2 linked regions of the Saccharomyces cerevisiae S288C genome follow. Each later gene encodes a partner of the first gene's protein in a complex. Each region holds a gene or a part of one and is shown in the gene's direction. Other genes may lie near its edges.

Evidence for each region.
Region 2: the proteins of ATG32 (region 1) and ATG8 are in contact, whole or in part, in a crystal structure (PDB 3VXW), measured with the Saccharomyces cerevisiae proteins. Residues at the interface, in NP_012120.1 of Saccharomyces cerevisiae: Ser85 (codon at 2,020), Trp86 (codon at 2,023), Gln87 (codon at 2,026), Ala88 (codon at 2,029), Ile89 (codon at 2,032), Gln90 (codon at 2,035); in NP_009475.1 of Saccharomyces cerevisiae: Glu17 (codon at 2,102), Ile21 (codon at 2,114), Arg28 (codon at 2,135), Pro30 (codon at 2,141), Val31 (codon at 2,144), Lys46 (codon at 2,189), Lys48 (codon at 2,195), Tyr49 (codon at 2,198), Leu50 (codon at 2,201), Val51 (codon at 2,204), Pro52 (codon at 2,207), Leu55 (codon at 2,216), Phe60 (codon at 2,231), Val63 (codon at 2,240), Arg67 (codon at 2,252), Phe104 (codon at 2,363).

Annotation. Positions count from the first base shown.
Region 1 is NC_001141.2:73,781-77,540, reverse strand, and holds ATG32 (mitophagy protein ATG32), read left to right. Parts: upstream 1-1,767; coding exon 1,768-3,357; downstream 3,358-3,760. Other genes in the region: pantoate--beta-alanine ligase PAN6, read left to right, coding at 258-1,187. UniProt on the Saccharomyces cerevisiae protein: Mitophagy-specific receptor that recruits the autophagic machinery to mitochondria and regulates selective degradation of mitochondria.
Region 2 is NC_001134.8:79,786-82,784, reverse strand, and holds ATG8 (ubiquitin-like protein ATG8), read left to right. Parts: upstream 1-2,053; coding exon 2,054-2,407; downstream 2,408-2,999. Other genes in the region: isoleucine--tRNA ligase ILS1, read left to right, coding at 1-1,742.

The DNA of each region.
Region 1 (3,760 bases):
TTACTGATGTAAGTTAATTAGAAGGAGTGATATCTGTAAGAGTGGAAATTAAGCGCCCATCTTTTTTATAATGTTGGCTGAACAGATATCCGGGTAAATGTTACTTTAACGAGTTTTTTTCTTTTGTCATATTTTCCAACAAGAGATTAATGAACATTTCTCGATGTAGCGTACATATTTATGTGTACAAGAAGTGGTGTGTGTTGATACTGCACTGTTTTATACAAGTTTTTATACTGCATATCCATATAGAATTGATGAAAATCTTCCATACTGTCGAAGAAGTTGTTCAATGGAGAACACAGGAGCTGAGGGAAACTAGATTTAGAGAAACTATTGGGTTCGTTCCCACAATGGGTTGCCTGCATTCGGGTCACGCTAGTTTGATCTCGCAGTCTGTGAAGGAAAACACCTATACTGTGGTCAGTATATTTGTAAATCCCTCCCAGTTTGCGCCAACGGAAGATCTAGATAACTATCCTCGAACTTTGCCAGACGACATCAAATTGCTTGAGTCGTTGAAGGTGGATGTTCTATTTGCTCCTAATGCACACGTGATGTATCCACAGGGAATTCCGCTCGACATAGAAGAGCAGAAAGGCCCTTTTGTTAGTGTTCTTGGATTGAGTGAAAAATTAGAGGGGAAGACGAGACCTAACTTCTTTAGGGGCGTGGCAACTGTCGTGACTAAACTATTCAATATCGTTATGGCGGATGTGGCTTATTTTGGGCAGAAGGACATTCAACAGTTCATTGTTTTACAGTGTATGGTGGACGAACTGTTTGTTAATACAAGGCTACAAATGATGCCTATTGTAAGAAACAATAATGGACTGGCTCTGAGTAGTAGAAACAAATATCTTTGTCCAGAGTCTTTAAAGATCTCTGAAAACCTTTACCGCGGGCTGAAAGCTGCGGAAAATGCTATTAGGAGACTAGCACCAGGGGGACGTCTCTCCAGATCAGAAATCATCGATACTGTGACTCAAATATGGGCACCCTACGTTGATTCCCACGATTTCAAAATCGACTATGTTTCCTTAGCAGATTTTAAGACTCTTGATGAACTCTCCGATGTTGAAAACACCAGCGAACAGCAGCCAATAGTCATTAGTTGTGCTGTATACGTGACTGACCGCGAAAAACCCGATACGGTCGTCAGACTAATAGATAACATCGTTATTTAAACTAGGTGATTGGGCCTTCCCGTGTCTGTGTTGCAGTATATACCACTCTTATACAGTATGCACGATATTCTTTTAAACCAACAACGGGATGATAGATTTCACGCTTGATGACTTTTTTTTTAGACGGCTGAAGGGACGACATCCCCATCGCTCAAAACACAAATATGGAAAGGACAAATCGTCTTTCACAGTTTGCATAGTAAAAGCAAAGTTTATACTACTTCAGCAAAGTTGAAGTTGTTTGGCACTTGTTTCGTGCTTTCTCAAATATCTTAGATCACCGTCTGTCTAGAGCATATATCTATTGTTTGACGCACCCCTTTTACAAAAAAAAAAAAAAGAAACAGATCTATTAAGTAATAAAAAAGTTATTTAGGAAATAAGGTGCAGTAAGCTTCCTGAGGCATAATCATTATACTTTTAAAATCTATATTTTTGGGTTATTGTTGAAATATTTTCTTACAAAGCCCATTTCTCGTTTTTGACAATTTTTCTTATCAGTTGTGACTTCTCTTATCGATAAGCAATATTGAAGTCCTAATCACAAAAGCAAAAAAAATCTGCCAGGAACAGTAAACATATGGTTTTGGAATACCAACAAAGGGAAGGTAAAGGATCCTCATCTAAAAGCATGCCACCTGATTCCTCGTCAACGACTATTCACACATGCTCTGAAGCACAAACTGGGGAAGACAAAGGCTTACTTGACCCTCATCTATCAGTATTGGAATTGTTGAGTAAGACAGGGCATTCGCCTTCGCCAATGGGACAGAACTTGGTTACGTCCATTGACATATCCGGCAACCACAATGTAAACGATAGTATATCAGGATCGTGGCAAGCCATTCAGCCTTTGGACTTGGGCGCTTCTTTCATCCCAGAAAGGTGCTCTTCTCAAACGACTAATGGAAGTATTCTATCATCTAGTGATACTTCTGAAGAAGAACAAGAGCTGCTTCAAGCGCCTGCTGCTGATATAATAAATATTATTAAACAAGGACAAGAAGGAGCAAATGTCGTTTCACCGTCTCATCCCTTTAAACAGTTACAGAAGATAATATCGCTGCCCTTGCCTGGTAAGGAAAAAACTCCTTTTAACGAGCAAGATGATGATGGTGATGAAGATGAGGCTTTTGAGGAAGATAGTGTGACGATAACAAAAAGCTTGACTTCTTCGACAAACTCTTTTGTTATGCCCAAACTATCACTAACACAAAAGAATCCAGTTTTTCGCCTTCTAATACTGGGAAGGACTGGTTCCAGCTTTTATCAATCAATACCAAAAGAATACCAATCTCTTTTTGAATTACCCAAATATCACGATTCCGCAACATTCCCGCAATATACGGGGATTGTCATAATTTTTCAGGAGCTGAGAGAGATGGTATCTCTGCTAAACAGGATCGTTCAATATTCTCAAGGCAAGCCTGTAATACCGATCTGCCAGCCTGGGCAAGTCATCCAAGTGAAAAACGTCCTGAAGTCATTCTTAAGGAATAAACTTGTTAAATTATTGTTTCCTCCAGTTGTTGTGACCAACAAAAGAGATTTGAAAAAAATGTTTCAAAGATTACAAGATTTATCCTTGGAATACGGAGAAGATGTGAATGAGGAAGATAATGATGACGAAGCTATACATACAAAGTCTCGGTCCTATTGTCGTAACAAAAAAGCCGAAAACTCAAAAAAGAAATCCCCTAAATCGAATAAAAAACCCAAGAGAAAGAAGCAGAAGTTCTTCACGAGCTGGTTCACTTGGGGCATTTCAATTACTATAGGAATTAGTTTTGGATGTTGTGTGACATACTTTGTCACTGCAGCATACGAACACCAAACAGTTAAGTCTTTAAGTTTGCGGCCCTCCATATTGGCCTCTTTACTTTCCTTAGATTCCTCTAGCGACACAATCAATACGCCCGCCACTGCATCTCCTTCTTCAACTGAGCAGTTTTTATGGTTTGATAAGGGTACGCTTCAGATAAACTTCCACTCCGATGGATTCATTATGAAAAGTCTTACCATAATCAAGGAGACTTGGGGCAAAATGAATACTTTTGTCTTGCATGCTCTTTCTAAACCTTTAAAATTTTTGGAGAACCTTAATAAAAGCTCTGAATTTTCCATTGATGAATCTAATCGGATTTTGGCACTGGGTTATATTCTATTGTAACCTTTTTCCAATATACACAAACATACACGTTCCTACTCACTTTTTTACTATCACTTCTGTTTCTCTCACTGCGTATCTATATTCCCCGTTTGGTTCCTTTCCTTAATTACATAGAAGCTTATCAAATATGAAAATTCTTTCATTATACAGGCAATTTTTTGTTTGGTTTCATAAATACATAAACAAACAGCTTATAAAATATTTCTTCTGTTAGCAAATTTAAGTTTCTTTATATATTCCTTACTTTCGCGTCTCAACACAAAAAAACAATTAAAAATCAACCATAGCGCATAGAGCGTATTCCGACGACTTCAAGGAAACTATCGCTGTAAATGTGAATGCATTTAGAAGTTACTATTATCGCCTTTGACATCATATTTGAAATATTCTACCTTCATGTACT
Region 2 (2,999 bases), on another chromosome or scaffold:
GTGTGCGTAACATCACTGACTTGCATCGTGATGTCATTGACAAATTGACAATTCCATCCAAGCAAGGTAAGGGTGACTTAAAGAGAATTGAAGAAGTTTTTGATTGTTGGTTTGAATCTGGTTCTATGCCTTATGCTTCTCAACATTATCCATTTGAAAACACAGAAAAATTTGACGAAAGAGTTCCAGCTAATTTCATCTCTGAAGGTTTGGATCAAACAAGAGGTTGGTTCTACACGTTAGCTGTCTTAGGTACCCATCTATTTGGCTCTGTTCCATACAAGAACGTCATCGTCTCTGGTATTGTCTTAGCTGCCGATGGTAGAAAGATGTCTAAATCCTTGAAAAATTACCCTGATCCATCCATTGTTCTGAACAAATATGGTGCGGATGCATTAAGATTGTACTTGATAAACTCACCTGTTTTAAAAGCTGAAAGTTTGAAATTCAAAGAAGAGGGTGTTAAGGAGGTTGTTTCAAAGGTCTTACTACCATGGTGGAACTCCTTTAAATTTTTGGACGGTCAAATTGCCTTGTTGAAAAAGATGTCTAACATCGACTTCCAATATGATGATTCTGTGAAAAGTGATAATGTCATGGACAGATGGATTTTAGCTTCTATGCAATCTCTAGTACAATTCATTCACGAAGAAATGGGTCAGTACAAATTATACACTGTCGTTCCAAAACTTTTGAATTTCATTGATGAATTGACAAACTGGTATATTAGATTTAATCGTCGTCGTTTGAAGGGTGAAAACGGTGTTGAGGACTGTTTGAAAGCATTAAATTCTTTATTCGATGCCTTATTCACATTTGTCCGTGCCATGGCTCCATTCACCCCATTTTTGTCAGAAAGCATTTATTTGAGACTGAAGGAATACATCCCAGAAGCTGTCTTAGCAAAATACGGTAAGGACGGAAGATCAGTCCATTTCTTATCTTACCCAGTGGTCAAGAAAGAATACTTTGACGAGGCCATCGAAACTGCAGTTTCTAGAATGCAATCCGTTATCGATTTGGGTAGAAACATTCGTGAAAAGAAAACTATTTCCTTAAAAACTCCATTGAAGACTTTGGTCATCCTTCACAGTGATGAATCATACTTGAAGGATGTAGAAGCCTTGAAAAACTACATTATCGAGGAATTAAATGTTCGTGATGTTGTTATCACCTCCGATGAGGCAAAATATGGTGTTGAGTATAAAGCAGTTGCTGATTGGCCTGTATTGGGTAAGAAGTTGAAAAAAGACGCAAAGAAGGTTAAAGATGCCCTACCATCAGTCACTTCTGAGCAAGTACGGGAATATTTGGAAAGCGGAAAGTTGGAGGTTGCCGGTATTGAACTGGTTAAAGGAGATTTGAATGCTATTAGAGGCTTGCCAGAATCTGCTGTCCAAGCTGGACAAGAAACCAGAACCGACCAAGACGTGTTAATCATCATGGATACAAATATTTACTCTGAACTAAAGAGTGAAGGTCTCGCAAGAGAGCTGGTCAACAGAATCCAAAAATTGAGAAAGAAGTGTGGTTTGGAAGCCACCGACGATGTTTTAGTGGAGTACGAATTAGTTAAAGATACTATCGACTTTGAAGCCATTGTCAAAGAACATTTTGATATGTTAAGCAAGACCTGTAGATCCGACATTGCCAAATATGACGGCTCAAAGACAGACCCAATTGGTGATGAAGAACAATCTATTAATGACACCATTTTCAAATTAAAAGTGTTCAAATTATGAAAACAACTCATATAAATACGTACAAATTTTTCTCTACTCGAAGTGATATAGATGTATATGTGTAAGTTTACGTTTAAGTTAGAGTCATGTAATGCTAACTGTCTCCACCGATAATGTTGTATAATACCCGTGAAATCATAGCACATGATATATCATCACCCGGAGGCCGGTTATTTTCGGCGGCGGCAAAAATATTTGGTATAATTATGGAAATACAAAAAGGGGAACCATTAAAGGTTGAGGAGGGGATTGATAAGAGAATCTAATAATTGTAAAGTTGAGAAAATCATAATAAAATAATTACTAGAGACATGAAGTCTACATTTAAGTCTGAATATCCATTTGAAAAAAGGAAGGCGGAGTCGGAGAGGATTGCTGACAGGTTCAAGAATAGGATACCTGTGATTTGCGAAAAAGCTGAAAAGTCAGATATTCCAGAGATTGATAAGCGTAAATATCTAGTTCCTGCTGACCTTACCGTAGGGCAATTTGTTTATGTTATAAGAAAGAGAATTATGCTACCCCCTGAGAAGGCCATCTTCATTTTTGTCAATGATACTTTGCCACCTACTGCGGCGTTGATGTCTGCCATATATCAAGAACACAAGGATAAGGACGGGTTTTTGTATGTCACTTACTCAGGAGAAAATACATTTGGCAGGTAGTCTTTTATATGAAAAGAAATGAAGCGTTAACATCTAAAATCGAAATTATAGGGACTCATTAGCCATCTATTGTTCCAGTATAAGAATGTTTACATAAAAAATTCGAAAAAAAAAGATAAAATAAGGGAAAAATATATATATATTCATTAAGAAGTTTTGTACACAACGGAGCCAAGATTTCACCAGTATTTGGAGACAAATGTGAGCACGTTATGGTATTTACTTACAGATTACGATCTGTTCAATGCATCAGAAATAGGAAGAAATTCAAAATAAAATAAAAAAAATATTAGGAAGGAGTGAAAAAGCAAATAAGATGATACAGTAAGGTGGAGTTAATGTCTTTCTTCTCCAAAATGTATTCTTGCTAACCAAAAATCTGATTCTCTCTGACCTGTTCGTTTGTCTTATGTATGTAGAATCAATTTCTTACAGAATTTTAAATACTGTATAGTGGAAAAGAATAATAAATAAATACTCGACTATATTTACCTTTATCTTAAGGAAAAGTTCACTCGATATTCTTAACTTTACCGTCTAGTAAGGCCTCTTTATTACATTAAAATATACACGTACATTACCCTGCTATCTA